Linked DNA regions of Kluyveromyces lactis. The protein of the gene in region 3 interacts with the protein of the main gene of each other region in a biochemical or structural test. Links are inferred from orthologs where the notes say so. Each region holds a gene or a part of one and is shown on either strand. Other genes may lie near its edges. The genes, in order: ATG32, YPT1 and ATG11.

Evidence for each region.
Region 1: the proteins of ATG11 (region 3) and ATG32 form a complex in vitro, tested with the Saccharomyces cerevisiae proteins (2 studies listed by BioGRID). The link is inferred for Kluyveromyces lactis from reciprocal best matches to the Saccharomyces cerevisiae genes ATG11 and ATG32.
Region 2: the proteins of ATG11 (region 3) and YPT1 form a complex in vitro, tested with the Saccharomyces cerevisiae proteins (2 studies listed by BioGRID). The link is inferred for Kluyveromyces lactis from reciprocal best matches to the Saccharomyces cerevisiae genes ATG11 and YPT1.

The regions. Positions count from the first base shown.
Region 1 is NC_006037.1:56,216-67,490, reverse strand, and holds ATG32 (mitophagy protein ATG32), read left to right. Parts: upstream 1-1,519; coding exon 1,520-3,094; downstream 3,095-11,275. Other genes in the region: SLN1 (histidine kinase), read left to right, coding at 3,646-7,113; RPL40A (ubiquitin-60S ribosomal protein L40 fusion protein), read right to left, coding at 7,386-7,764, 8,304-8,311; MLP2 (Mlp2p), read left to right, coding at 8,941-11,275. UniProt on the Saccharomyces cerevisiae protein: Mitophagy-specific receptor that recruits the autophagic machinery to mitochondria and regulates selective degradation of mitochondria.
Region 2 is NC_006040.1:455,807-465,480, forward strand, and holds YPT1 (Rab family GTPase YPT1), read left to right. Parts: upstream 1-3,689; coding exon 3,690-4,304; downstream 4,305-9,674. Other genes in the region: TUB2 (beta-tubulin), read right to left, coding at 1-804; PER33 (Per33p), read left to right, coding at 2,066-2,932; SND2 (Snd2p), read right to left, coding at 4,620-5,165; ACT1 (actin), read left to right, coding at 5,920-5,929, 6,710-7,827; KLLA0_D05379g (uncharacterized protein), read right to left, coding at 8,394-9,674. UniProt on the Saccharomyces cerevisiae protein: The small GTPases Rab are key regulators of intracellular membrane trafficking, from the formation of transport vesicles to their fusion with membranes.
Region 3 is NC_006038.1:1,057,553-1,069,381, reverse strand, and holds ATG11 (autophagy protein ATG11), read right to left. Parts: upstream 10,525-11,829; coding exon 7,384-10,524; downstream 1-7,383. Other genes in the region: APL3 (Apl3p), read right to left, coding at 1-1,157; RFC5 (replication factor C subunit 5), read left to right, coding at 1,507-2,574; MRPL16 (mitochondrial 54S ribosomal protein uL16m), read right to left, coding at 2,726-3,391; MSF1 (phenylalanine--tRNA ligase), read left to right, coding at 3,761-5,149; TAH18 (NAPDH-dependent diflavin reductase), read left to right, coding at 5,508-7,382; peptide alpha-N-acetyltransferase MAK3, read left to right, coding at 10,989-11,525; POL30 (proliferating cell nuclear antigen), read right to left, coding at 11,612-11,829. UniProt on the Saccharomyces cerevisiae protein: Involved in cytoplasm to vacuole transport (Cvt), pexophagy, mitophagy and nucleophagy. Recruits mitochondria for their selective degradation via autophagy (mitophagy) during starvation, through its interaction with ATG32.

The DNA.
Region 1 (11,275 bases), on a different chromosome or scaffold from region 3:
TATTTTCAGTTTTTGATTTTCAGCTTTTTTTTCTTTTGTTGTAATCTCTGCGAAGGATGATGGTAGGATGGAAGAAAGAAGAAGAAAGTACAATCACGTGAGTGTTCATCTCAGAAGTATGGATGAGGGAGCCTTCTGAGGTTCGAAGGAAGCAAGGCGGTACTTTAAAAGAGATGAGATCAACAATCATTCGTGCAATGTGATTTGATGGTCTTGTTTCAGCAAGGGATGATACAGATTCCCTCCCCTTTCAAAAGAAAAGATCAGGAAACCTTAAACGCTGATTGCTGCTCCTGGATGAGAGCTGAAAAGATAACGGAAGCAGGGGCGCCAATAGGGTAAACCCGGTCAAAACGGGTGTGGCAAGACCCAAATAGAGCTAATTAAATCTGCTTGTTTTTTTTCGTAACCTAATGAACCGCTAGTCAGTGCACTCATGTTCTATATAGTGAATACACAATGACCGGAAAATATTGTCTCTCCTCAGGTAATCTTCACTAGCCTCCCTTGTTCATAGAAGAAGTGTGCGACCACTGAAATTCTTGCAATACATTTAAGGTTTTCTTAAAACCTCAGTCAAAGTCATCTTAAAATGTTGCTTGCACCGATATCAGTGTGCTGCTCCGATTTGTAATCTACAACAGTGTCTCTAGCATAGTCACAATATATATATATATACATCAGGCAACATTCACTTGCATTTTATTATATATTATCGCCAAGAGTGGATATATTAAAAAAAAAAGGTTTAAGATCGTCCGTTGAAAAGTCGTTCTTCACACACTTTGTGGTTATCTTTTTTAACTATTTTACCGTTTGTTCGATCAACTAAAGCTCACCATAGCGTAAACTGAAGGGATAAGGCTTTCTATATTAGTTGTTGAGTGGAGACTTTTTAGTATTTTTCTCCGCTTGGTACTATTTCATTATTATAGGTGTCAAGTTTTAAGTTTCAAGTGCCAAGCATCAGCCCGTGACTCAATACCACATAGATTCACAAAAGAAGAGTCGTGTAGTGTTTGTCACACTGAAGAAAACACATATCAGAATCTGCATTTTTTTTTTGATTTTTTTCCTACTAAGCTCTGACGTTGAGTGGCTGAACTAAAGTTGGAGAAGCTACTTTTATTTTTATAGATCTGTTGATTGATCCTCTAAACGTGTCTGTGTTTGTTGTACCTTAAACCAGTCTTTTGTCCCTCTGATTTGTATTCAAATTTCTTTTTGTTACATTACTTAAAGGTACGCTGATATTGATTTATTAATATTACAAAGCTCTTAAGGGTTTATTCCTCCTTGATTACTCTATTTGGGTCTTTTGAAGAGGTATAGTTCACAGCCATAACTCTTGTCTCTGATTAACTGATAATCTTTGATTTTTATTCGGACTCTATTCTTCTCCTTTTCGCGAAGTCTTAGAGTGAGCTAAGAACTCATTTATAAAGGGGTTTGCTAGTGTTTGTCGTATTGTCACTACAAAGGGTCAGTTGAATATTTTACTATTTTTTTCTGTTAACAGATGTCTGGGTCTAAAGGGGTCTGGGGTGCACCTCCTGGTAACAATAATCGTCAGTTATATTCACTAGATGCTGGAAGCAGCGGCAGCGGTGTTAGTGCCAGTAGTGCTCAGCGACACAGTATTCTCGATCCACATGACTCAGTTATGGATTTATTGAACGGACAGCAAAGCTGTGCATTCGATTCCAGGCTGATCCAAAATCAAGATTTAATCGATAGGAAGGGTAAAAGTAACAATATTGATCATAATGATATTAATACTCACACTCATAGTAAAGGACTCACAGATTCATGGCAGGCCATTGATCGGGATGAATATTCTTTTTTAAATGCTGGAAATCATAATAACTATCATAATACCTCAAATGGCGACTTCAATCAACAATTTGGCGGGGTGTTATCATCTGACACTTCTGAAGAAGAGGTTGAAATTAATGCTGCTCCTTCGCCTAATTTGAGTGCTTCTCAGCAGCACAACCAATTTCTAGCCTATCCTTTATCATCAACAGGTTTTGGTGATCAGGGAAATAGTGAAACTACAGTCCATCAGTTTTCTGACGGTGATCCAGTTAAATCGACTAAAACTGGTCAATTTTCAAAAGCAGAACTAGGTGCTGGCACTGGCGAAGATGAGACGATAATGGTCAATTTGGGCCATTCTTGGGCGGGCAGCTTTTTTGTTATGCCGAAATTGTCCTTATCGGAGTCTATGAAAAGATTCAAGATTTTAATTTTGAGCGATGGAGACTCAGCTAACTCTTTCTATAACCGTCTATCTCGGTATCACCGACTAATGTTTGACGTCGGAAAACTCAACGAAGCTTCAAAAGAGGAAGCATTGAAATATACTGCTTTCATGATAATCTTTTCAGATTCAAAGAAAGTGACTACAATCCTAAATAGAATGTGGAAGAAATACGGAGATTTCACTTTGATTCCAATATGTCAAAAGGGTCAGAAGCAAAGCGTCACGGAAAAGGTCAAAACATTTGCTAACTCTAACAAAATAAAATTGATGTCGTACCCTGTGGTAATATCCGATCATTACGAGATACACGGGTTGTTGCGGCATTTGCACTCTCTATACGTTGAAGTAGATTCTGACTATGAGACGGATATACCTAAAAAAACTAAACCAAGAAAAGGTGCAAAAAAGAAGCCGGCCCCTCATCTTGCAAAAAGATGGTGGTTTTGGCCAATATCTATAGCGCTTGGCGTTGGGATTGGGTGTTGCGTCACCTTTTATTTCAGCAAGTTCGAGACTTCCTCGTATAATTCATCAGTTGGGGTTATTCAGACAGCAGATAAGGAGATCGATGCTATTGTTGACGCTATAGAAGGAAATTCACCGTCAATACTTGAGGAAAGCTCTCCGCAGTCAATTTCTGATTTCTTGGGTCAAGTGTGCAAATTAGTTAAGGATACTGCTATCCAGATCAATGAATTATTAAAGCAGTTTCTTTCGGCTCATTTAATGACGTCTGCTTGGATTCAATCCATTGGTAAAGAATTCATGCAACCTGACTCGCAGAGTACCATTTCAAAAGTCACTGCTTTGGATTTAGTGATGTTTTGAACCGGGGTACGTTTATATGCTGCAATTTGGTGTATGTAGTGATGTAACTAGATGTTGTTTTTTTCAAAAGTATGAATTGTTGCCCAACTTTTGTTTTCAGATTGAGCCTTCAATATACAATTTTAGTCCCTAAATGTCAATAGCACAATATTCAATTCTGAGACTTTATTTCAATCTGTTTTTATTCCCAAGGTTTCTCATTTAGTGATTTGTCTCAACTAAGTATCCCAGTTCATATAGGCTATCACAATCTATGTCACTTTAGACAGGATACTTTTTGATAAGTTGTGTATTTTATTTTTGTTTACTGTACAGGCTTGTGACATTTTTCAAGGTTTAAACCCTTACTTTATGTTAGTAAAAGATCCTCATTCACAAAATGAAAAACTTAGATGAATTAAAAGAAAACAAAGATCAAAGTTTAAGAAGTTCATTGGTTCTTGATAGGAGACGTCATGAGGGGATTGTAAATTGTCTGTCATTAATACCAACCTAACCTGTATTCCAGACTTCAACCTCGTATGCTAACTATCGGACGATAATAATTCACGATGTTGGCAGGCTTAAAGAGACGTTGCAGTCTTAAAGCTCTTCGGGAACGGTTTACACCGCCGTTTAATGTTGGTTTACGAACCCAACTTATTATTCTCGTGTGCTCTATTTGCGTTTTATCGTTAACAATCATTACGGTTACTACTGGGGTTTATTTCACAACGAACTACAAATCCGTACGAGCTGAAAGATTACAGGTTGCAGCACAATTAAAATCATCACAAGTTGATCAGAACTTGAATTATTTATACTATCAAATATATTGGTTGTCTACAAGAGACACATTACAAGATGCGTTAGTCAATTTTAGAGCTGGTAATTCATCTAGAGATAATTGGAATTCTGCAGAAGACAGTTTAGAAAAGTTTCTTGGTTCTTCAGGTTTGTTCAGTGCTGCTAGAGTTTATGATACGTCTTTCAACACCGTAATAAACTCCACCAATAATGGGTCTGGTGACAACATTCCGGAAAACGTTTTAGCAGAGCTCTTTCCTCTATCTGGCGTAGAGCCTTTGTCTTCTTCGCTACTAACTACGGGTATCGTTACAGATCCGGTATATAACTGGACAAATTACTTGTTGTCCATGTCATTGCCAGTTTCAACAAATCCATCTATTATTCTGAATACTAACGAAATTGCCGGCTATATTACTGTCATTGCATCGGCGGAAAGTTTAAAGGCTGTTGTAAATGATACAATTGCTTTAGATAAGTCATCCGTATCAATCCTATCTGCTGTTTTCGATAGTAATAGTTCACTGACTGGTTATCATTTCGTTTTCCCTCCGCATGGAACCTCATCATTCAGTTCAAAAGTGACTTTTCCAATTAAGAACGGCACGTTTATAGCTGATGCATTCGAAAATGGGAAAGTTGGTTCAGTTATGAAAACAAATATGGTTCAGGAGAGAAACATAGCAGTAGGGTATTCACCACCAACTTTTAAACTTGTAAATTGGGTGGCCGTTGTTACCCAACCTGAACAAGTATTCTTGTCTCCCACTATACGGCTTATGAAAATCATTGCTGGTACGGTGTGCGCTATTGCCGTATTTATGTGCTTATTGACTTTCCCTATAGCACACTGGGCTGTGCAACCTATAGTCAGACTTCAGAAGGCTACTGAAATCATTACATCTGGGAGAGACTTAAAGCACTATAGCAACACTGGCAATTCAGATTCAAATACTGCAATTACACATTCTAGGACTCGTAGCACATCTAACCAAAACCAGGTGATGAAGCTGTTCAACAAATCTGTCACCAAAGGTACGCCCAGTAATTATCTGAATCACAATTATAATGTTTTCCCTCCAAGTAGAACAGATTCACCAAGCGTTTCCGCAAGAAACTCACAGACTATACCCAGAGGCCCCGGAGACCTGACACGTTCAGCTACTACTGGATCTACCCCATTTTCTAATGATTCTTCTTCATATACCTCCGAACGATATATCAAATCAACCAACCTAGTGGAAGCATATGTCCCAGTATACAGAAGATTTTTTCAAGATGAACTATCAGAACTCACAGATACATTTAACACAATGACAGATGAGCTAGATAGACACTATGCTCTTTTAGAAGAAAGAGTTCGTGCTAGAACAAAACAATTAGAAGCGGCTAAGATTCAGGCCGAGTCTGCAAATGAAGCAAAAACAGTTTTCATTGCCAACATTTCTCATGAATTGAGGACTCCACTAAACGGTATCCTTGGTATGACTGCAATTGCCATGGCAGAAACTGATATGCAAAAAGTGCAGAACAGTTTGAAGTTGATTTTCAGATCAGGTGAATTGTTGTTGCATATTCTAACAGAACTTTTGACTTTCTCTAAGAATGTCTTAAAGAGAACAAAATTGGAGGAACGTGACTTCTCCGTTATGGATATTGCTTTGCAGATTAAATCCATCTTTGGCAAACTAGCAAAAGATCAGCATGTTAAATTGTCCATTGCCCTTACACCAAATTTCATTAGAACTTTGGTATTATGGGGTGATTCAAATAGAATCATTCAAATTGTTATGAATCTAGTCTCAAATGCTCTAAAATTCACACCAGTTGATGGTAAAGTTGATGTTAGGATCAAATTGCTTGGCGAATACGACTCAAAAAGGAGTGAAAGTGTCGATTATCAAGAGGTATTTGTGGTCCCTGGTTCTGAAGCAAATGATGATTTTGAGTTCAATTTAACTTCAACTACTCCCATGAGGCTTCCTTTCAATTCTTCTAGTGGCAGCGTTAATACTGCTACTAAAGATGGATCAACTTCCCCAACAACTAAGACAAAAGAAGGCTCAATTCAAGTCGAATCCGAAACGTCAACGGAGGGCAATGACAACGATGAAAGTAGCATTGTTCTTGAAAGTAAGCACGAAGAAAACGAAGACGAAAAAGAAAAGATGTCAATATTATCTACAAGTACTTCAAGCTCTTACGATGATGCAATTTTCCATTCGCAGTTCAAGAAAGTTCTGTCTTCAACGGATTCAGATACGGAAGAGAATACGTTCAGAGATCTTAAGGTACCAAAGACTTGGGTTATAAGTATGGAAGTGGAAGATACTGGCTCGGGTATTGATCCTTCACTTCAAGAATCTGTTTTTGAACCGTTTGTTCAAGGTGATCAGACGCTCTCTAGACAATACGGTGGAACTGGCTTGGGCTTATCCATTTGTAGGCAGTTGGCAAAGATGATGAAAGGTACAATGAAGTTGGATTCGAAAGTTGGTGTTGGAAGTAAATTTATTTTCACTGTGCCACTACAGCAAACAAAAGAGATAGTATTCGATGGTGCTGAAAAACAGTTTGAAGATGAGTTCAATATTCACAGCAGGAAGAACAGAAAGGTTAAATTTAAAATCAATTCCTCTAGGAAATCTGTTCAAACAAAGAAATCTAAATCTAGTATCGACGGACATAGCGATAACAATGTCAGTGAGAGAAAAGCCAGTAATTCTACTGAAAATAGCGTTGGGAATGTTCGTGTTGATAGACCATTTTTACAAAGTACGGGTACGGCGACCAGTACTAGGAGTATATCATCTGTAGCAAGTGAAGTTACTCGGCATAGAGTTTTGGTTGCTGAAGATAATAATGTCAATCAGGAAGTTATAAAAAGAATGCTTCAGTTAGAAGGACTCACAGATCTTGATATGGCATGTGACGGACAAGAAGCTTATGAGAAAGTTGAAGAAATCTTAAAGAATGGCGAATCCTACTCCATGATATTCATGGATGTTCAAATGCCGAGGGTGGATGGGTTGTTGGCTACCAAAATGATCCGGAATGATCTATTATATAAAGGGCCCATTGTTGCGTTAACCGCATACGCAGATGATAGCAATATTAAAGTTTGTCTAGAAAGTGGAATGGATGGTTTCCTACCAAAACCCATTAAAAGACCATTGTTAAAGAAAATAATCGCACAGTACTGTTCGAAAAAAGAGAAACAGAGAGAAGAATAGATTTGCGAATGTAACATTATATAAAACTTAAAGGTACTCATACACATGTATATTTCCGACCCTTAATACATTCGATGTGTTAAATATCCAGTACAGTGCATTACCGACAGTCACACAAAGCAACGCTCAGGAACGTTCAATGATATTAAACAATGTTAAAGAAGATTTATATTTAAATCAAAATAATAGATCTGTAAAGCTAATATGAAAAAACACATATGATAGTGAATGTGCGTAAATATGTATGTACTCCATAGTGGTAGCAGAATCGACTATTTTAACTTCTTCTTTGGACGCAATTGGTTGGTGTGACCACACTTTCTCTTTCTACAGTTAGTAGCTCTTGGTGGCAATCTAGCGTAACACTTTCTGCAAACGGACTTTTCACAGTTGTACTTAGAAGCCAAAGCCTTTAAAGATGGTTCAATGATACCACCTCTCAATCTCAAAACCAAGTGCAAAGTGGATTCCTTTTGGATGTTGTAGTCAGACAAGGTTCTACCATCTTCCAATTGCTTACCAGCAAAGATCAATCTTTGTTGGTCTGGTGGGATACCTTCCTTGTCTTGAATCTTAGACTTGACATTGTCAATGGTGTCGGAAGATTCGACTTCCAAAGTGATGGTCTTACCAGTCAAGGTCTTGACGAAACTGTTTTCAAAAAGATATGATTTGTTAGTAAAAGTTTGAAACTCGATCAGAACAAAGTTCTTAAGGCAATCTTATTGGGACGATTCCTAGAATTAGTGAACGTTCAAGTTAATTTTGCTAGATTAGTAAAGCTTAATAAAAAACCAAAAAAAATTCCCTCTGTAGGTATGAATTGTTGTGCATTTGATAGTTAGGAGGTGATAGGTCCCATTAAACTGCTTCCTTGTATCCTTATTCATTCTGCAAAGCGTACTTGCTTTCGTTTGAAGAAATCGTGACATATATCTCACTCAACAGTTTAGACCGCGTACTCACACTCTCCGAAATGAAACGCTCAAGTTCTCACAGGATAGCGACTATCATGATATATGTTACACCAAACACAGTAAATCCTTGTCATTTTCATTAGTTGTTATCCGAGTTCGTCTTGTTGTTTTTTAGCTAATGTGCTTTCGTCCCATTTCAAAGTAGCATAAACCGTCTTGAATCACCAAGAAACCCCAAAATAAGATGCCTTTTGCTTATCATATTGTGCATACATTTGCATTTTTGAATCTTGTCCTTTCCTGATCTTTTTGATAGTAATCAACAACTAAGTACAGCTATCTTAAGTGCGTATGATTAAATGATATAATCCAAAATACTTTGAGTATGAATTCTTGCTTGCTTTCCTCAATCTGGGTTTGGTACATAGAAAGTTGGTGAACCTGAGGAATCGACAACGAGCAAAAACGAAGTGATTTCTGCAATTAGAAAATAAAAATACCGTTTTGAGGAATATATGCATTTTTAATTGTCAAGCCCCGAAATTTATACACCCAGACACACTGTTGAATAGTGCACGGATGTTGTTGCAAACCGTCCCAACTTGGAACGTAGAATTTTACTGGTACCGGTTACCCTGATTGTTAGTTTAGATACGACTTCTGTATTTCGTTCTGCAGTCAGTTCGTGGTATCTGGTCGTTATTTTGAATTTCACCGAATTGGACCTAATATTGAAATTGAACAAAAATTACCTGTCAAGAACAAAGCCTATGTGCATTGTATATGCTCATGTATACCTGCAGAAATTTTTAGTATACTTCTAATTGAATATCATAGCGATTAGCTTGAACACTAGGTAAAAGTAGCGTCTTATAGATTGCTATTCCATTGTTGTGTTGTGGAGTTGAGAATGTCCGTAGAACCCATTGCCTCTAGGGTCGCAGACTTTCTACAAGTCGACCAGCAACTGATACAAGACATTAATAATGATGTTTTAGGTAGGATTGAGGAGAAGTTGGAAGATCTTCGGAAACAAAAATCTGAAAACCTAAGAATAACTGCTACCTTGGATCAATTAAAATCTCAATCAGAGAACAAACTAGAATCATTCAAAATTCACATCTCTCAACTAGCCAAGGCATTGGAAGATGGGAAGGATGAGCGCTTACACTTTGAAGAAGAGAAAAGGCGTCTAATTGAAGGAAATTCACAAGTGACCAAAAGAATCATAGAATTGGAACAAGAAATAGAAGTAGAGAGGCAACAAAAAGAACTTGCTGACGCTTCTAAGCAAGATATTGCAGAGTCACTAAACGAAAAAATTGAAGAACTCAGTTCTACCAAAGCTAAATTGAATGAAGCACAGGGAGCGAATAAGGAACTTAGACAAAAAGTCGTCAATACTGAAACTGAGCTACAAACTCAGCAGGCCTTAGAGCTACGTTCGAAAAGCGAGATTTTAAGGATGGAACAAGAAATCACATTATTGAGAGAAAACAATGACTGGTTGACCAATCAGTTAAATACCAAGACCGTACAACTCAATGAGTTTAGAGAAAGCACAATTAGTGAATTACAAGATTCTCAGTTAAAGGTATCGAATATGGAATCAGAGTTGGAAATAGCTCGAACCAGTAATCAGAAACTAAAACAATCGGTACACAGTTTACATGAACAACTGGAGCAAAAACTTTCCGAGAACAAAGAAATTAAAGATGAGTACAATTTCTCTAAACAAGAGCTTACGAAAGAGATGTCTTTAAAGCAGAGAATGATTGATGCTCTAGAGAAACATATGGAATCATTGAAGAAAGAAATGGATGCTACAAAGAATAACATGGACTCATCATATTTCACCGAAAAAGAAAGAGACGAGCTCATTGAAGAGCTCAATGCGGTCAAATATCGTTTAGACGCATCTGAATCTAACTGCATAAAACTTAAGGAGACAATCGATGAATTAACATCCAACATAAAATTAGAAGACTCCGAAGTTGGTAATACCACTGCGTCTTCAGAAAAATCGGTTTCTGTCATACCTAAGTTATATGGTGATTTGGGAATGCTCAAAAAACAGCTGGTTATTGAGAAAAGACAAAAAGACGAGTTAAAAATGCAAGTGGAAGCATTCGTTGTTGAATTAGAGCATAAAATCCCTGTTCTCAATTCCTTCAAAGAGAGAAGTGAAATGCTTGAAAGAGAGTTAAATGAGGTTACTATTTTGTTAGAGTCAACTGGCAAAGACCGTGATCAAAAGTCGTCACAACTTGATTATTTGAAAGCTACTGTGAAAAGCTATGAGACTCAAATAGCCTCCCTATCTAAGCAACGTGTTGACCTTGCCCATCAGATACAGTACTTACTCGTGAACGAATCTATTAAGTCAGAGGATGGCGGACCATTATCCGCTGAAGAATTGCAATTTGTCAAAAATCTAACCAACTCTCAAGAAATAACAAAGACCTCTGACACTCAAGGCATTATAACCGATCGACTAGTAGAATTTAGATCAGTAGTTGAGTTGCAGCAGAAAAACTCCGAACTTCTTTCTACAATTCGCAATCTTGCTGATGAATTAGAACGCAGGGAAGCTGAAAACAAATCTCAAATCCAGGTATTAGAGGATGAAACGGTGAGAGAGGCAAAAGAAACCATTCTTACACTTCATGATCATGCACAGAACCTTGAAAACCAACTAGTCATTCTATCAAAGGAGAGGGACGCATACAAGGCATTGTCAGTAAATGCTAGCTCTGGCACAAACACACCTAAGGCCATTACTTACCCTTCTCCTGATAATGACGATAAAGTGAAGGATCTCGAAACAAGACTCACCGCTGTCATTCAAGAAGCAGAGAATAATGCCAAGGAATGGTCATCAGAAAACAGCAACCTGCGTAAGAAATTATATGAAATATCACTTAATTTCGAATCTGAGAAAACTTCACGTACTCTTGCAGAAGATAGGTTAAATCTATTACAATCAACTTTAGAGCTTTCCAAACGCCAATGTGAGGAGCTACAAAAAAGATCATCTGATCTACAAGATATTTTAACAAAACAGGACAAACGTACACAGGAGACTGTAGATTCCTTAATCAAAACGAAATCCACTTTGTCATCTATACAATCGGAACTATCCATCTTGAAGTCTGAAAAACAGTTTATGGCAAAGGTTCAAAAGGAACTGAAGGCAGAGAACGAAAGATTTTCCAAAGAAAGTGTCGAATACAAGGTGTTAATTG
Region 2 (9,674 bases), on a different chromosome or scaffold from region 3:
AACCATGAAGAAGTGTAATCTTGGGAAGGGCACCAAATTCACGGCCAATTTTCTTAGATCTGAGTTCAATTGACCTGGGTAACGTAGGGATGTAGTGACACCAGACATGACACTTGAAACTAAATGGTTCAAGTTCGCATAATCTGGTTGTGGTAATTTTAGAGTAGTTTGACATATATCGTAAAGGGCTTCATTATCGATACAGAAAGTTTCATCAGCGTGTTCGACTAATTGGTGTACAGATAGAGTGGCATTGTATGGTTCTACAACGGTATCTGAAGTCTTTGGGGATGGGACAACGGAGAAAGTAGCCATCATTCTGTCAGGGAATTCTTCTCTGATCTTAGAGATCAACAAAGTACCCATACCAGAACCGGTACCACCACCAAGGGAATGGGCGATTTGGAAACCTTGCAAAGAGTCACAACCTTCAGCTTCACGTCTGACAACGTCCATGACAGAATCCACCAATTCAGCACCCTCAGTGTAATGACCTTTAGCCCACACGTTACCTGCTGAAGATTGACCGAAAATGTAGTTATCTGGTCTGAACAAAGTACCAATCTTAGAGTTACGTACAGCATCAATGGTACCAGGTTCCAAATCAATGTTAACGGATCTTGGAACCCATTTACCAGAAGAGGCTTCGTTAAAGTAAACGTTCAATCTAGCCTTTTGAATATCATCGATACCGTGATAGTTACCTTCAAAATCCAAACCGTGTTCACCACAAATAGTTTCCCAAAACGCAGCACCAATTTGGTTACCACATTGACCTGTGGACAAATGAATGATCTCTCTCATGTTTTAGAATATCTCTGAGCGCGTTATTGATCTGATCTCAAAAAATGACAATTGAAGAAACACAGCACAGGCAAATTGTAGAAAGACTTGGTGTTGATACAATCGAGGGGTATCTATAATCCAGTAATTGTTGATCCTTGTTCTTTCAAGAAAAAAAAATAATTATGCGATCTCTCTGTCCTTTACAAGAAAAAAGTGAAATATAATATGGGTAAAAATAGTAGTCTTGTCCACAGTATATTAAACAAACAAACTAACAAATCGAAATAGACGAGTTCTCACAGCTGTTATCTATAAAGTTATCTCTAACCCGTGCAAGCCTGTTCACAATCACGTCTGTGTTCACTTATTTAACCACTTTAAATTGTTTATTTATTTGTTTTTATTTGTTTATTTTTTTCCTCCTTCTCTTTCCTCATATCTTTGTTTGTATTTTGATCTTTGTTTCACTTCTTTAGGCAATTTTCGAGCACGTCTATTTCCCTTTGTGGGTTGCTAAGTGTGCGGGTAATACGGGAAACGGAAACTTACATCGCGTGATTTGCACGTGACTGTGATGTGTGAATTCCTGCGTAGTGTCAGTTCATCTAAAGACAAGAGTTGAGGTTGCAAGTGAGCAACACATTCCCCTAAGATTTAGAATAGTTGTCGAAGTGTTCCATGAGTCCAAAGACTGAACAGACTATTTTCTCGGATCATTTTCTTCACAGCTGACTTTCCGTATATGATAGAATCATACGGAAACTGGAATACTGCAATTTTCCCTAACTTTCGATTCTAGCTGACATTTAAAGACGATGTGAAAATTTAAAGAGAAACGGATTTCAGGATTAGGAAATTTAAAGAGGGAAAAAACGTCCAGTACAGTTTGTTAAGAGAAGGAAACCTATTAGTTGGAGAAGCGAAAGAGGGTTTGACTAGTTGGAATTGATCTGTCCAGTGCTACATTTTTATGTATATAGTAATCGGAAGGTTACTTTGATTAAGCTACGGTATTCTATTTCGAACCGAATCGAATCGGATCAGGTTAGCAGGTCTCTTTTTTTTTTTTTTTTCTTATATTTTTGGCTATCAATTGATTAACTGATTGTGTATTGAAGACGAAAGCTGTTTACATATTTAGCTTTTCAAGGTGTTTTTGTCATCGTTGATTGTGAACTCTTAACTTAGCGGCTCAATAGCAGTTGATTATCTCGTCTCCAAAAGAACTTTCGTGAGTTAGTTACTAAGGTTTCATTTTAAAGGTTTTCTTTTCAAGAAGATGTCTGAGGGAAGTGGCAATGGCAGTGGTAATCGTTATTCCAATGCTGCCGGTCAAAATGGAGGCAACAGGCCTGCTCAGAGACCTGTAGCCCCTCTGAGTGCTGTGTTCCGTACGAAGTTGAAACAGCCTCAGTTCTATTGGTTCCTTGGTCACACGTTATGCTTATACTATTATATCCAATATATGCTCTCATTCCGAGAACAAAGTGTAAAGACAAATTACAGGAAGATCATGCTATACACAGTGATCAGTTATGGGATTGTGCTTCACCAATATGTGAAATCAAAACAGTTAAGATTCCAGTGGTCGAATTTAAAACAGCAGATCAGACAGTTGGATAACCTACAATATTTTACACTTTCCATTGTTCTTTTGATATGTTCTCTATCAGGAGGGAAAACTTTAACTCAAACTGAATCATCTATGGTTATATACTCTTTGTTCCATGCATTGAATTATTTCAAAGAGAATGTATTGCCATTCATTCCAATGAACCCCATGTTAAAAGGTTCATTGTCAAATAAAATCTCGTATTTCATCACCAATTTCAACGGGTCTTTCTTCCATGCTGCAGTGATGTCAGAACTTGTAACGATGTGCAAAGTGTGTCTCATGCTGCCCATACAGTTAATCTCTGTGCTTATCACATTCAATGCCAAGAGTTTATTCACACTTCTATCAATCTGGGCATACGCTATATTCTTTAAGTTAAGATACAATCAAAGTGAACAAATGAGGTTGCTATGTAACCAGAACCAAATGATGATTGAAAACTTCATCTCAACTCGTTTGCCTATGTTCATGGACAAATGGTTAGGCATTAAACATTTGGCTAAAGTCTTCTTTGATAGAATCCTTGCTTGAAAACGCTAGAACCAGTTAGAAACTCGAAACTTAAGTTCATTCATAGAGTCTTCCTGCAAGTTAGTCAGTAGAGCATCTAGATATACACATGCATACATATATATGTATCTTAACTTAGAAAAAACTCATCCAAGCAAAGATTCTTGCATTCGCATCTTACATCCTGTGAGATTTTGTAGAGTTTCACATCTCCCCTAAAGATTACTACGAATCATTCCTATCAGTTACCTGAACTTTGTAATGTCTTCATCCATTTCATTACTTGTCCGAAATAGTTCAGTGTAGTGTAACAGGTTCATTACTGATCTATATCAACAACACTGTGTATTTCTGTGTCACGTGATGGTAATCTTTTGTGGAATCTTTTCCGTTCAGGAGAACAAAATTCAAACAGTGAAACCTGGACCGAAATACATTCTATTAAGCAACAATAGCATAGTTTCAGTTATTCCAAATGCGGTTTGATAAGACGCTTGCTTTTTTTCTGGTTACTGTTGCATATTTACTGAAAGCTTAACTAAAGGATAGACTTTTATTTTGGGGTTGTTATCATATTTTATCTTATACTTCCTTTACTCATTTTCTTTAACGGAGAGATATTAACAACGAGGGATACAGAAAGGTGTGTTTAAAATAGAGAAATATTGTAAACTTACAACGCAGTCCATCCAATCACAACTTACAAAAGGAGCCCATATTTTTTAACAAACAGTCGAATCGTATCAGTCGCTATAAACTACAAGCAAACAAAGAAAAAATGAATACCGAATACGATTATTTGTTCAAATTATTGTTGATTGGTGATTCCGGTGTTGGTAAATCTTGTTTATTGTTAAGATTTGCCGATGATACCTATACCAACGACTATATATCCACCATCGGTGTTGATTTCAAGATCAAGACTGTTGAGTTAGATGGCAAAACTGTTAAGCTACAAATTTGGGATACTGCCGGTCAGGAAAGATTCAGAACTATTACATCTTCTTACTACCGTGGTGCCCACGGTATAATTATCGTTTACGATGTAACAGACCAAGAATCCTTCAACAACGTCAAGACATGGTTGCAAGAAATCGACCGTTTCGGTACAGCTGGTGTGTTGAAGTTACTAGTTGGTAACAAGAACGATTTGACAGATAAGAAGGTGGTTGACACCGAAGTTGCTAAAGAGTTCGCAGATTCTATTGGAATTCCATTCATCGAAACCAGTGCACTAGATTCTTCTAACGTTGAGGAGGCCTTCTTGATCATGACCAAGCAAATCAAGGAAAGTGTCGCCAAACAACAAAAAGATAATGGTAGAGCTGAAGACAAGTCCAACGTCAACTTAAAGGGCCAATCATTGACTGGATCCAATGGTGGTTGTTGCTAAATTGGATAGCATCATCGCTATGTTACTATACACTAAGTGTCTGAAAAATCAGGAACTGAATTTAAGAACTGTCTGATAATTACCATATTTCGAAGAATTAATATCCCGTATACATCACAAACAACATTAAGCACCATTTGCCCCACATAGCTTTAACGAAAGAGCCGGTGGTTGTCTATTTAGAGCCTATTATAGTTAGACTTAATTTCAATTACAATCATTATTCCTTTCTTTCTTACTTTCTCTATATATAAGAGAATGTATTCGTAGATATATGATGGATATAGTATATACAACCCCTTCTCTAACATTAATCTATCGGTATCTTACCTGAGATTTATCACCACGTTTTTCCCTCTTCAATTGTCTCTTTGATTTGGAAGGTTCAGCGGGCGTTGTCTCTGCGAGATCCGCCTTTGAAGCTGAGGCACCGGGGAAATACTGTTGCTTCAAGTAGTACAACTTGTAGAAAATAAACGCAGGGCACACTAATACCAAGAACCACCATTTCATCGTGTTGAAGAAAACTGTTCCCAGGTTACAGAACAAGGAAACATACACGATATCTTTCATGTATTCAGTGAGTCCACCAGATTCCAAATCGAACCCTTCATTAACTAGTTTATATTTTCCATGCGCAGCGTTACTGACTTCATATTTTGGTCTACCGGTACGTTCGAGAATATATAAACATAACAACATCGGCACATTGAAAAGAATAGGTTTTAGGGTTGAAATCAGCCCATTACTGAACCATTTCCTCAATAACGTTAAAGATAGTATAGCGACGACTAGTACGTGCAACTGCTTTAAGATGGCTGCGTTCTTTGCAGCAATCTTCTTGGACGATTTTCCAGCCATTCTACAATGGGTGGGTGAGATTCTTCAGAGATAGAGATAGATGTACATAAATGTACTGTCGAATATTAACCTGATCTATTAATACCTTCCCGTTGCTTCAATGATAGTTGATGATGATCCACGTAACATATATTCACGTATAGATTTCAACTGCCGAGTCATTATAATCCGGGTAACGTACATATATGTCACGTGATTTTGAATATACACATTAATATACGGAGGATTAAGACGATATGCGGTCATAATGAATTGTAAAATAAACCAGATGTACTAACATCCAGAGATCGATAACTGCCTCATGAATACAATATACTACGATATAACTATTCTACCGACAGCCTACCAACGTTATATCAAACTTCCAGCCTTCACAAAGCCTTCAATTGCAAGTCCGCCCCTCCAGCTGTACAGTGAATCCCACGTAACCACTAGAAAACCATTACCGCAACTGCTCCGCCTCGTGGACAATGACAATCGTCTCCTATTTTTCATCAGAATTCTTTTTTTTTTTTTAATTTGTTTTTTCGAAATTTTCTCTTCTGTTTCTCTGGACAGCTAGTGCGATTTATTGTATGAGAGAGTTTGAAATTTGATTTAATTTACAAGAAAAATAAGAAATATCTTGATTTGTTTCCTCCTTCTTTACTGTCTTTTACGATCCAAAGAGAAGAAAGGTTGTTTCAGAATAACGGTTTTTTTGTTGATTGCAAAAGGAATTGTACAACATCTTCACGCGCTATAGTATAACAATATGGATTCTGGTATGTGTGGAAACGTATATTTGATTACGGTGGGTTAATTGGGTGGTTAAAAAGTTTGGATATGTTTTATTACTTTGTTAGGTTTCCGGTTAAATGTTGGGAGGGAAAAGATAGGATAATGGCAGCGCTTTGCGCTGCCATTGTCCATTCTCTAACTCCCTAAATCAGATTTAGAATTAGATGTACAACGCTAATTGAATGGGTTTTTTTTATATATAGGGGTTTGGATTAGAAGCTTTGTTCGAGAATTGGATCTTTCATTTCCTGGTTCTACCTTCTTACTATAACGTGTTTTTCTTGGGTTTTGGGTGACTAACTTTGGATTTTGGGTTTTTTTTACCTGATTTAGGAGGCGAATTGGAAAGAAATTTGGAAAATATAGGCAAAAAAAGATAATTTGATGTCACGTGATGATGTGATTTTATATTACAATGTTATTCCTTCCAGTCCAAGAAGGAATCAAAGTACACCTTTAAGTGGTGCAGGCATTGCCCCTCGTGGTTCGGTTGTCCCTATTTTTTTTTTGATTTATTTTTCTGGTTGCTAAGGTTAGCCCCTATTTTGTCCGCGACAGGACTTTTAGCGTTGAACAATCACATAACCTCATGATCACCCAAAATGCACCTGTTACTTTTGTTTTCTTATCTTATGTTACTAACAATTATTTTTCTATTTGGGATGGCTGAATTCACTTTTTTGGAACACCTAACCTACCCAAACGTACGGTTTAGTTCCTTAATCTGCATTCTGCTACTCGTGATGGTTTTTTATTCTAAACAGAGGTCGCTGCTTTAGTTATTGACAACGGTTCTGGTATGTGTAAAGCCGGTTTCGCCGGTGACGACGCTCCAAGAGCCGTCTTCCCATCCATCGTCGGTAGACCAAGACACCAAGGTATCATGGTCGGTATGGGTCAAAAAGACTCTTACGTTGGTGACGAAGCTCAATCCAAGAGAGGTATCTTGACTCTACGTTACCCAATTGAACACGGTATCGTTACCAACTGGGATGATATGGAAAAGATCTGGCATCACACCTTCTACAACGAATTGAGAGTTGCTCCAGAAGAACACCCAGTTTTGTTAACCGAAGCTCCAATGAACCCAAAGAACAACAGAGAAAAGATGACTCAAATCTTGTTCGAAACTTTCAACGTTCCAGCCTTCTACGTCTCTATCCAAGCTGTTTTGTCCTTGTACTCTTCTGGTAGAACCACTGGTATTGTGTTGGATTCTGGTGACGGTGTTACCCACGTTGTTCCAATCTACGCCGGTTTCTCCTTGCCTCACGCTATCTTGAGAATCGACTTGGCTGGTAGAGATATCACCGACTACTTGATGAAGATCTTGGCTGAACGTGGTTACTCTTTCTCTACTACCGCTGAAAGAGAAATCGTCCGTGACATCAAGGAAAAGCTATGTTACGTCGCTTTGGACTTCGAACAAGAAATGCAAACTGCTTCTCAATCATCCGCTGTTGAAAAGTCTTACGAATTACCAGATGGCCAAGTTATCACTATCGGTAACGAAAGATTCAGAGCTCCAGAAGCTTTGTTCCATCCATCTGTTCTAAGTTTGGAAGCTGCTGGTATCGACCAAACTACTTACAACTCCATCATGAAGTGTGATGTTGATGTCAGAAAGGAATTGTACGGTAACATCGTCATGTCCGGTGGTACCACCATGTTCCCAGGTATTGCTGAAAGAATGCAAAAGGAAATTACCGCCTTGGCTCCTTCTTCTATGAAGGTCAAGATCATCGCTCCTCCAGAAAGAAAGTACTCTGTCTGGATCGGTGGTTCTATTTTGGCCTCTTTGACCACTTTCCAACAAATGTGGATCTCAAAGCAAGAATACGACGAATCTGGTCCATCCATCGTTCACTTGAAGTGTTTCTAATCTCCTTCACTTTTTTTTACTTGACACTCTTATAAAAAGAATACAATTAAAATAAACGATGAATCGATTCATATAGATGAACCCAAAAATTGAAGCTTATGAAACAAAAAACTAACAATTATTAAAACTTCATATAGGGACGATTTTACTCCAAATCTTCTTTGTTTTTATAATTTTGTTTTGTGTGTTGTTTTTATTTATCTTCGATCGCACAGTCATTATTCAAGTTCCAATCTTCTATCTTATGTTGTTGGAATATTCTACTTCATATAAATGAAGTGGGTAGTTTAGTATGAAAGTTAATAAGTTAATAAGCCGAGATTATATACGAACGAAATTCAAATTCAACATTAAAATTAAACAACTCCAATTGAAAGTTATATACGGCAATTATTGAATATTCGTGCGAGGCTAATTGCTTAAGTTGATCATCTGATAATTTGAAAAGGATTTAAAATCATCATATGTTCCAGAACAAAGATTTTTAGTGTTGAAAGTTATTCTTAGTTTATGAAATAGTAAATTATTTAATATGTACAATAGATAAACAAGACTAAACTAATAATTCAACGTTCCGTCACTTCAGTGGTAGTAGTGGTACACACAAATGAGTCAGGTTCTGGCGCACCAGACCTCTCGGGAATACTTTCAAAATCTGCACTTTGATCCGACTCTATCTTTTCATATTCAACTTCTGCTGACAGCGCGTCTTGTTTGAATAGATTGTCAATATCGTGTGGTGACAAATCTCTCGTCTCAGGAAACCACATAATTATAATGAAAGCTAAGGCTATTGTTGATGTTCCCAACATTACGAAGGTCCACCATTCTACGATTTGCATTAAATAAGGTGCCATTAATGCAAGGGCAAACCCTGTAAACCAACTTGTCGATATACAAACTGATAAGGCCACGGATTTTATGGATTCTGGTAAGATTTCGTTAGTATAGATAAAGCCAGCGCATGACAATGATGAAGAGAATACCGAAACAAAGAGGAAACATAAGGCGACAACTATATTTCTCAAAACAACATCGCCGACGTGCCTTTCCCTTTCACCAATTAGGAATCCTATCAATAGCATGATACCACCTAAAAATACACTTGCCCACCCGATGAATACTTTGCGATTAAACTTGTCTAATAAAAAGACAGGGACTAAGGTAAATATCGTATTGACAATATAAGGTCCTGCGGTTAATTTCGAGCTGACATCATCATCAAAGCCAACCATTTCACATATGTAAATAGTGTAATACATCACAACATTAATACCACTGATTTGAATTAATATCTGGACTATTATACCGAGACTCATGTGTTTCCAGTAACCTTTCTTGATAATATAGGAAAGCTTTGGCTTTTGCTTCGTTTCACTAACGAACTTCTCTCTGAGTTTCTCAACATCCTTCACTCTCAAAATCGCTAGCGACCGATCTATATCTTTGTTGGAATATCCATGCTTATACAACCATCTTGGCGACTCCGGTAGTGCTTGAAATAGCATCAATAACAATAAACTGGGTATCACTTCTAACCCCCAAGTAATCTTAAATGCCAAGGGACCTTGGATTTTATCAAGTAACATAGAGAGAAAGTATATGGATAGAATGGAGATTGTTAAAGCCATCTGCATTAAAGCTGTGGCCTGCCCCCTTATATTGCTTGAAAAAACTTCCATCAAATAGAATGAAGCAAGCACAGATAGAATACCTACTGCAATCCCTTTTACAAATCTACTCAGAGCCATTGTGTAAACTTCAAGCACAAAAAAAGATCCGACAGATCCCATGGTCCAAATAACACTACAAGCACACAAACACCATTTGCACCCAATGAGTTCTAT
Region 3 (11,829 bases):
TTACAGATTTTGATTAAAAGATCGAAAGTTGAATATCTCGTATTCAGGTCATTAGATGTCATTAGTTCACAAAGTCCTGTGACGGAATTTGAAATAGCCTCATTAGTAGGATCCAGTTTACAAGCAAAACCGAGCATTGTAAACATAACAGAATACTGAGCATTTTTGGTGACCGGATTGGCATCACTTGCTAATGCAAACGATACCGCATGTGATACACAAACCCGTAACTTACCCAGGGTCTGTTGATCAATATTCGATCCGATCAAATTCTCTCCGTTATCGCTGACCAAGACTTGTAAAAGAGATACACAATTCCCTACAATCCATGGGTTAGATACTCCCGAAAATTGGTAATCTGCATCATTTGCACTATTCTGCTTTTTCGATAGACATTCATGCAAAATCTCAGCTAGTTGCGGGATTAACCTCAAACATGGATTAACGTCAATCTCTCTAGCTATAAACTCAAGTAAAGGCAAAAGTGAAAGTAATAATCCATGATCGTTCTCATCCCCTAATAATGTAGTAATTCTTTCAATCCATAGAGTTCGTTTATTATCTTCAAGATTTGTAAGGATTTGCGGTTTATAACGAATTAAAGTTAAAAACGCCAAGCATGCTTTTCTTTTCAAAATGGCTGATGAGACAGGAGATCTAAGAATTCCGAATATCGTCTCACTTAGATTATCAGCAAAGATTTCATCACGATTCCCAACTATTCCGACGAAGTTCAACGCCAAGCTTACTGCATTAGCGTCGCCAGATGATAGATCCAGTTTCAAGCATGAAATAGTCTTCTCCAGGACGCTGTTTCTCACAACAGCATGGTTGAAAAGGAGTTCAAGTGTCATATAACCAATCCATTTTTCACTGAAGTTACTGCTTTTCAACAACTGGAAACATTGATCCAATCCGAATAACAACTCAGGAACCATGCCAGCATTAGTAGTGATATATATATATGCCATCTTAGCAACATATTTTTTCCTTTGATACCCATTGAGCCCACTTTTCTGGGTAAACTGAGTCCGTATATTCTGTAGTTCAGTTTGTATTCTCCTAGCATGCTCTTTAGTCTTCTGGTTTGCTCGAAGGTCTGCAATGAACAATTGCAAACCCTTCATGTTGTTCTGTTGATTCTGACCTAAAGCCATTGTTAATTTCTTGATTCTGACTTGTAAGACACCAAATAACTAGGAAGATAATCAAGTGGCACTGCTAATCGATAACAACTAGTAAGTGTACAGATAAAAATGGTACCTACTGCTGGTATACTATCTAACTTGATGTTGTTGTTTTAAGGCTATTGAAGTTACGTCTACTTGAAATCATTTGAATTTCAAAATGTCAACGTGAAGAAACGTTTGGCGAAATTGTTAATAAAACGCATCACGAAAAGTACTTGAGAGACAATTAATCAAAACGCATAGCAGGCGAACGAGCCATTCCAGCGAGTTACATTGAGCTACATCGACTAACAAGATTTAAAATTCCTATACGAGAATGTCTTTGTGGGTTGATAAGTATAGACCAAAGACTCTACAGTCATTAAGTTACAATGAAGAATTAACAAATCAATTGTACTCATTAACGAGACAACCTCAAGATCTTCCACATCTGTTGTTCTATGGACCCAATGGTGCTGGTAAGAAGACTAGATGTATGGCACTGTTGCAAGAAATATTTGGTTCTGGGGTTTACAAGCTGAAGATCGACGTTAGACAGTTCGTCACACCATCCAACCGTAAGCTGGAGTTGAATGTAGTCAGTAGTCCCTACCATTTAGAGATTACTCCGAGCGATATTGGTAACAACGATCGTGTTGTGATACAAGAATTGATTAAGGAAGTCGCTCAAATGGAACAAGTAGATTTCCAGGACTCCAAGGATGGTTTGGCACATCGTTACAAGTGCGTTATCATCAACGAGGCAGACTCGTTGACTAGAGATGCCCAGGCAGCATTAAGAAGAACTATGGAAAAATACTCTGGTAACATCAGGCTTATAATGCTATGTGATTCAATGTCCAGTATCATTGCTCCTATCAAGTCTCGTTGCTTGCTAGTTAGAGTACCATCACCAAGTTTGCAAGAAACTGTGTCTATCCTGCAGGATTGTTGTTCCAAAGAAAAAATAACTGCCGAGGGCAATTGTCTAGAGAGGATAGCGAATCTGTCAAAGGGGAACTTGAGAATGTCACTCTTAGCACTAGAATCTACCTCACTACAAAATGAATTGCATTTAAGAAACGATACACCTTTGAACAGACCTGATTGGCAATTGGTGATCCATAAAATGGCTAGGAAAATATTAAAAGAAAGAACTGTTAATAACCTTGTAGAATGCCGTTCCATAAATTATGATCTATTAGCCCATTGTATTCCTGCCAAAACCATAGTCCATGAATTAACGACGCAATTGCTTTCAGATGCCCAGTCAGATCCGTTGAAGTTGGCAATTATCGATACTGCATGCACTTTTGATCACCGTCTCAACCTTGGAAACAAAGCAATCTACCATTTAGAAGGGTTCATTGCAAGGACAATGTGTGAAATAGATAAATATACGTAAGTATTAACTTTTGTAGTTTGACAAACAACCAAACTTTACTCATTTGGGACTTTAAATCTTGAATCTTTGATAGCCTATTTACAGATAGTGGGATTAGCTCTCACAAAAGTTATACGTAAAAGAGTCGTTTATATACACACATCGATCTATTTCAACGAGCCCTGAACATTCTATATTCCGGTTGCTGGGACTTCAACTTTGTAATATATTCCTTTGTAGGTTTCTTCTTTAGTTCTTCAAAGTAATTGATCTTTGGATCGTCCTTTGGATCTTTTACACTCTTGATACCTACTCTTACCAGAGAATCTTTCGATATGAATTCGTATAGGCCAGGAAGCTTGGTTGCTGCCTTTCTAAACGCCTCACGTGCTACTTTCTCGTGTAGATTGTCACCTGCCATCTCAAAGATCACTTTACCGGTGGGTACTCTGACCATCCAATGGTCAAATCCACCCTTACCTTTACCCATTCTGGTCTCATTACCCTTGATACAAACAGCAATGTTTGTACACAAACGACGCCATAATTGACCGTTATTCAAAGGTCTAACGTATCTCATAATAGCATTATCGGCTTCCTTCAACTGTAACGCAGTAAGTCTCACACCTTCAGACTTCAATCTTAAACCAAATTGACCAAATTGAAGCGAATTACCCTTAGTAGAGCCACCGGTACGCACTGGCACACGACCCTTTTGCTTCTTAGTCTGGTTCTTGAAACGTGGAGCATATTCATGTGTAAAACGCCTAGCGGTTACTTGCAGACTTTCTAATGGATTTAGTGAGCGAAATCCAGTCTTGAAAACGCTGGAAAACATGGTGATCTAATTTACGATAAAGGAGGCTCACTGATCTGAAATAAGATCCTTGCAATGAGGCGCGAGGGACTGTTTTATGCTGCTTTTCAAATCAATTTCTATGCTCTGGATCTTCTTTTACTTACTCTTAAAGCTTTTCATTATTGAAAAATTTTTGGTGAAGTTGAAGATATCTTGAAATCATGTGACCTTCTACATACATTCAAAAGAAGATACAAAAGTCTCGTTAAACAACACTTGATATACCTGTTCTGGTGATTTCAGGCAGTGAAATATCACTAGTAATATCATTGCTAAGGGATTACCTTTGTTTTGTTGATTGAATTGCCCCAGTTTTACTGTTATTAAGGGTTCTTTAATACCGAAACGATGTCGAATAGGACGATATTGTCAACTTTGAGACCATGTTTAAGGTTGTTTAGCACCTCCAATGTGGCATTACAGACACTTTCTGTGAATGGAAAGACGTACCCAGTATCAGATAAGACGAATGTAACTAGTTCGATTTTGAATTTGACTGATCGCGCTGTTTATTTGAAACCATCACACCCTGTTGGGATCTTAAGAAGTGTTATCGAGGACAAGCTGAACGACCCTCATCACTCATTCGAGATCTATAACGATTTCAAACCTGCGGTTACGGTACATGAGAATTTTGATTCTTTGGGATTCCCAGAAGATCACCCCGGTAGATCGAAATCTGATACCTATTACTTGAACGATTGTCATCTGTTAAGAACGCATACATCTGCCCATGAGTTGGAATGTTTCAAGAATATCAATGGGTTTGTTCCTGGCCATGTGGGTAAGACTGATAAGCCTGGATTTTTAATCTCTGCCGATGTCTATAGAAGAGATGAGATTGACAGGACTCATTATCCGGTGTTCCATCAAATGGAAGGTGGTAGAGTTTGGAAAAGGGAACCGGATAACCAACATTTATTAAAGATTAAAGAAGATCTCGAGAGATTGGAGAAAACTTTGGCAGACGACCCAGTGAAACTTGTCGTGGAAGATAACGTTTCCTTGGAAGGTAATCCAAAGCAGGAATACATGACGATGGAAGAAGTCGATTTATGTTCTCGCCATTTGAAAAGATCTTTGGAGCTTGTTGTATTGGAAGTCTTCAAGAGAAAGTTGGCAAGTATGGGTAACGTGAAGGGAGAAGAGTTGAAGGTTAGATGGATTCAAGCTTATTTCCCATGGACTGCACCATCATGGGAAATTGAAGTGTTCTGGCAAAACAATTGGCTTGAGCTCTGCGGTTGCGGTCTTATCCGTGAAGACGTTTTATTAAAAGCTGGATATGAACAAAATCAAAACATCGGTTGGGCTTTTGGATTAGGCCTTGACCGCATTGCAATGCTATTATTCGAGATCCCTGATATCAGATTATTCTGGACCCTTGACGAAAGGTTCCATTCCCAATTCAAAGAGGGCACAATCAACAAATTCAAACCGTACTCTAAATATCCAGGTACCATCAGGGACGTGGCCTTCTGGCTTCCAACAGATAAGAACTTTGACATTATCCATGAGAATGATCTAATGGAAATCGTTAGAAACGTAGCAGGAGATTTGGTTGAATGTGTCAAATTAATTGATTCATTCACACACCCCAAAACCGGTAGAAAGTCATTATGTTACCGTATTAACTATCAATCAATGGACAGAAACGTCACCAACGAGGAAGTCAATGAGCTGCAGGATAAAGTTCGTGATACCCTGGTGAAACTATACGGCGTTGAACTGAGATAACCAAGATACAAAATATTATATATAAATTCGTCGTATTTACTAGTGATGCGATTTCATGTTAATAGTATAAAAAAAATTCATTTCAATATGTAACGGTTAGTGATCAATAAGATCTGTGGGTAATTAGTAACCATACAGTTCTTTTTGAACACTATCTAAGAAGAAATACAACGACACTGTCATTAATTCATCGTCTGTTCATCGTTATTATCGCATATCTCTCTTAACAGCAAGATTTCAAGGTGAAAAATACTGAGATAGCTTACATATTACATGTGATGAACATCAAAGATTATATACTGTAAACGATTCAAGACACATTTAAAGCTGCTAAGAAGTATTTCGGACTACTGAAACCATGCAGAACAAGAAGATTGTCATATTGTATGGTTCTGAGACAGGAAATGCGCAAGATTTTGCGCATATTCTTTCTCATAAGTTAAAGAGACTGCATTTCTCACATACATTGATTAAGATCGGTGATTACCATCCGAAAAGCGTTCTGCAGTGCAAGTACCTGTTTATCATCTGCTCTACGACTGGACAAGGAGAACTACCGCGTAACGCAAGAGAGAACTGTAATGGACGGGCTCAGGGGACTCTCTGGCAGTTTTTGAAGAAATCTACACTTCCTGCGGATCTTTTAGATCATGTTAACGTTGCCATGCTTGGGTTGGGTGATTCCTCGTATCCAAGATTCAACTTTGGTATCAGAAAGCTTCATGAACGTATTGTCAATCAACTTGGCGCTAGTGAGATTTTTCCACGCTTAGAAGCTGATGAGTTGGGACTTGCTGGGAGTAATAAGGATACTGGAAATGGAGTTGAATCCGTCTACTATGAATTTGAGAAAAGAATCATCGCCTACATGTTAGAGAAGTACCCCAACAGAAAGCACGATGGCAAAATGATGCCCAGAGTAGGCCTAGCCGAAGATGTTTACTTGAAACCGAGCAATATATTAGAAATATCCACTGTTAATGGATCGACAAATGATCAGCTACCTGATTCTAAGATTCAATTTGTTGGAGATGAGACAATAAGACATGGAACCGTTAAGAAAAACAACCAAATAACTGCTAAAGATCATTTTCAGGACGTTCGACAATTTGTGTTTGAAACCGAGGATCATGAAGCCTATCATCCAGGCGATACAGTTTCTTTATATCCCGAAAATTCAGACAATGACGTTGAATTATTCCTCGAAGCTCAACCTCATTGGAAGAAGGTCGCTGATGAACTTCTTACAATAACAGACCTGGAAAATTGTGATCGGTTCAGAGATGGTGGTGTTGTGAAACCACTTACTCTAAGAACCTTGTTAAAATATCATTTTGATATCGTCAGTATACCTAGGCAGAGCTTCTTCATGAAAACTTGGACTTTTGCAAATGCTCACGAAGATAGACCAACCGATCAAGAGCTATTAGAACAACAGAGGGATAAACTAAGACAGTTCGGGTATGGACAAGACCTACAGGACTTGTATGATTATTGCAATAGACCAAGAAGATCAGTATTAGAGGTTATACAGGATTTTGAATTCTTAAAACTTCCATGGGAGTTCGCATTAGATTATCTACCCATGATAAAGCCCAGATTTTATTCCATCTCAAGTGCACCATCTGATCCTAATGTTGAACTAACTATTGCTATTGTTCGTTATAAGACTTTGTTAAGAAAGGTACGGAAAGGACTATGCACGAACTACCTACTTACATTAACCGAAAACGATACAGTTCGTTATAAACTTCAAAATAATCATTTACTTCATGAAGATATTATTGGCAAACCTATCATCATGACTTCTCCGGGGGTAGGTCTCGCACCAATGAAGTGCTTGATCGAGTCTAATTTATTCAAGGATCAGTACTTATTTTTTGGTAACAGAATGAAGGATAAGGACTTTTTATATGAAGATACGTTATCTATGTGGAAGAAAGAAGGTAAAATTAATTTATTCACTTGTTTTTCGCGGGATCCCATAAATTCTCCTCATGCTAAGTATGTTCAAGATCAGTTGTGGAATCAATCTAGTCTAATAGCAGACCTAATTTTGAAAAAATCTGCCATAGTATATATTTGTGGATCCTCCGGTAAAATGCCAGTTCAGGTTAGGTTGACTATAGTTGAGATCCTGAAAAAACATGGAAACTTCGAAAACGCAGAAGAAGCCGAGCATTATCTAAAAGAAATGGAAAGAACTGACAGGTATATGCAAGAGACATGGTAGTTCAGTCAAGATTGAAAAAAGCGTCAACTTCATACCACACGGTATTTCTTGGAAACTTAAAGGGGTTCTTTGAATCATCTCCAACCACATGCTTTTCCAAGGCCGAGATTCTACCCATTGCCCATTCCCTATCTTTCAATAATTCGTAATTAGACGTTGAGTTTCTAAGAACGTATTTGATATCAGTATTTGTCGCAGTGAAAATTGCCCATACAACATGCTTCTTGGCCGAATCTTGGGTGTTAACATTGAATGTATCCGGTCTGCCATTAGCGTTGAGTGCAGGATTCCTGTTCGCTTTACTTAATGGAATATTTTCTGTGATAGAAGCAGAGCTTCCGTTAAGAATGCTAGCTGCAATATCAGACTTGACAACATTTGGACGTTGCATAACAGACTGTGTAGATGAGTTTAAATCAATGGATGAAAATGAAGAATTTAGCGACGATATTGAAGAATTTAATAGCAATTCCTGATCGTTGATTGGTAAAAAAAGAGCAAGATCTCCCGGTTGGAAGTTATATATTGTAATTTTGTCTCTAGCACTTTTCTGCAAAAGGAGTTTTTTATTCTTGTTCTCTTTCCTAAGCTTTTTCGCCAAACTTTCGATATCATTGAACCTGCGGATCACTGACGTTTCGAACAATTGGTTACCAAATAGTTTTTCTATGTAGGTAATGAAATTTTCATGAGGTTTGTAGTCAATCTGATCCTTTATAGATTCGAAAGTACTCTTTATTTCTTGTGCAATTACACTTTTTGCCATGGAACTATTCATATCAGCCAAACTTGAATCCAGATCTTTTCTTAAACCTTTGACGCGAACAATTTGAAAGTTTCCATCTTGATCTTTGGAAAGTAACAACCCGATACTCGCCAAAATGAAAATACTACCTTGGAAAACATCATATAAAGTTTTTTCCAATTGCTTATTAAAGTTGATAAACTCTGCATCAATTGTTTTGCTTTTTGATATTTGCAATTGGTTAAGATCTTTTTTAAGACTTTCAACTTCTTCTTGCAAGGAAGCCCGTTCCTGTTCTGCTTGAACTTCTTGGGTTGCCATATTGACAAGAAGATCTTCTTTCATTTTGTTTAAATCCTCGGATTTCCGTCGGGATTCTTCAGATTCCCTTACAAGTTCCTCATTTTGCTCAAAGAGGGATCCTAAATGCTTCTTGAAATTCTCCGAACGAGAATTCATTTCAGAATAGAAGTTTTCGCGTTCAATCAACAACGTTGATAATTCTTTGTTTAAATTTGTCATGGATTCTCTGTAAGCATTTTTCTCGACCTCCATATGGGAAAGTTGACTTTTAAGTGTTGAAAGTTCAGTTTCAAGGGTCTTGGTTAATTCAGAGTATTTGCTTATATCCTTTTGCAGGTTTTGAAATTCCTCGAAGGTTTTATTTGATTCGTGTTGTTGTTTGGAACTTGGGAGATCGAATGTTGAACTTTGCTGTAACTTTGTGCTCACGGTACTATTGCGGAACATTTGGACCATTGCAGTTTCCTTATTCAGAATGCCAGCTGGCCATGAGTCGTACTGATGGAACTGTGCATCAAGTAATAAATGTTCTAGCTTTTTGATACGAGCCTTGTATCCTTCAATGATAAGCTCCGAGTCCTTCGAGAGCGCGTAATCTGTAGGTAAATGCAAGCCTGTCAGCTCCGCCTGCGAGACTTTTGACTTAAGTAAATTAATTGTAGGTTCACCTAAGTTCAATGAAGCAAGTTGATTAATATAATCTTTAATCTGAGACAATGTCACCTGTTTATGATCACTTATGGACGGAATGTATACTGATGATGGTAGCAAACTATCAACATCTAGAAATCGAGTTATCCATTGGAAATCTTTGTACCAAGAGTTTCTTTGTCGTACTTCGTCATCCAAAAGATGCTGCAATGAAGATTCATGTTGTTGTCGAAGTTGAGAGTAACGGTCTGTCCAGAGCTGCTCTCTGTATAACTCAATCAAATACAATCCATAACACATAGGCAAATCCAATACTTGAGATAATTTCAGTTCTTCATTCTTCAAAAACTTCATATTGGTCTTAACGTCTTTAGTTAACACCGACTTCACCATTATTACGCTCATCTGCGATTTTGCAACGGAAAGGTACAACTGTTGCAACTTCTGCTGGACAGTAGCTTTTGTATCTAAATTCGTGGAAGCTTTATTGAACATTGCTTGCGAAATTGTTTGTAATTTGGGGACATGTACACTTTTGAATGTTTCAAACTTCTCTTTTGAAGCATCTTTAGAAGCCTCTTCTTTATATTGATTTGATACAAGCTCAATCTCTGTAGCCATTTCTTTAAATCGTTCAACCATTTGGTTGTCCATATCATCAGAACTGACAACTGAATTTTTTTTCACATCATCTAAATCTGAGATTAACTGTGTTCTCTGCTGGTAGCATTCATCAATACTTTTCTTTAACTCCTTTAACTTCGCATTTAGTTCACGATCCAGACGGTGAATGGAATCCTCGATCTCTGTTAGCTCGCTATAATTGAAAAATGATGATAATAACTGATTAGAAACTTTAATATTGCCGAGAATATTATCATAAAAGGAATGCCATTGATTTGAGGCACCATCTTCGTGAAGCTTGTTAAGAAAATCAACGTTGCCATTATACAGCACCTCCACTTCATAGCAGTAGTTTTTCAAATACTCAAGCATAACAGTACCACACTCTAATAACCGTTGAACGTCTTGATAAGTTTCTTTTATAACGTCCTGGAAAAATTCAACGTCTGATTGCAAAGCCTTCAACCACCCTAAATTCCGTAGAATGACATTTTTATCCAACTGTAACGAATCGCTTATCGGCGATGGCAAAGGTTTGAAAAGTTGGAACCTTGGCTTTGGGGAAAACTCGATCTCCTCATTGAATATTCCACGGTCAAATACGTATATTTCTTCCAATCCTTCTTGTTGCAGCTTTCTGGAATCCCATCCTGCTTTCTTCAATATCATTCCATAAGGTAACAATAGAAGTATGTCATCGAGCGGTATCTGGAAAGTATCACTTGCAAACTGTTTCAAATCTAAGAAACTAGGGAAATAAACATTAGATAATTGGTGTGAAACTCCTGATGTAGCACATATCAACTTGCATGGCGGCATTATTAATAAAATTATCAGATTGTAACCTTAAGACTTTGGAAAGAAATAAAGGGACAATGTCGATTTAATGATGATGAAATGGGGGGTGTTAGCTCACAGGATTCTATATCATGAGTATTCTTTAAATGCTGAGATATATCTAATCTGGAGTACTAAAGCCGTAAGCAACAAGTGGAATAAGAGCCGATAAACGTCAGGGGACTGAAAAACTATGTAACAGGTTTTCTCACCTATAAAACTTACCGGGGGGTCCATATAATCTTTTTTCGAATCAGTTTGGTGAAGCAAGAGCACGTGACTGATATGCTTTTATTATAAAAATTTGGTTTTAAACCTCCAGATGATGAGATAAACAGTTTTAAGTAAAGCTTTTTATATTCGCTAGCTTCGGCAGCATCTACTCTCATTGATATAACTAATTAAAAATTAATAAGAAAGTATACTGCAGATAAACTAAGCAAAGGATGGTCGAAATAAGGTACACACGATTCGATATCAGTAATGACATGGAGTTTTCCACCATCAAGAAATTGATCGATGAGGATCTCAGTGAGCCATATTCGATATACGTGTACAGATTTTTCCTAAACCAATGGCCGAACCTAACGTATTTGGCATGGGCAGAAGGATCGGGTAAGCCCATAGGATGTATAGTATGCAAGAGCGATACTCATAATGGAGTGCGGTTAAGAGGATACATTGGCATGTTAGCAGTGGAGAAACAATATAGAGGCCGTGGGATAGCGAAAAAACTAATTACCTTAGCTATAGATACTATGATTGATGAAAAATGTGACGAGATTATGTTGGAGACTGAATGCAGCAATGCAGCTGCTTTGCATTTATACGAGAATATGGGCTTCATCAGAATGAAGAGATTATTCCGGTATTATTTGAACCAGGGAGATGCGTTTAAACTCATTTTACCGATTACAGAGAAAAGTTGTGTGAGAAGCACATTCCTGGGGATGGATTCCTTTCCTACCGACACCATACTCTAAAGTAAATTGAATTGATTTTATATCAGTAATTGTCATTTTAATACACACACAATATATATATATATATAGCATTGCGAAAAGAGATTTCATTCCTCTTCATCGAACTTTGGAGCCAAATAGAATTGCAAATTACCGCTTGAGATATCGAATTGGAAAAGGGCTGGCGCTTCTTCCGATAATTTTATAGTGATTGTATCTGATAGAGAGGACCCCTTAATGATGTCGTTTAAATATTTAGCACCGAACCTTAAATCTACTGGTTTTTCTATGGTAACTTTAATTGAACTTTCAGGATGATCCAAAT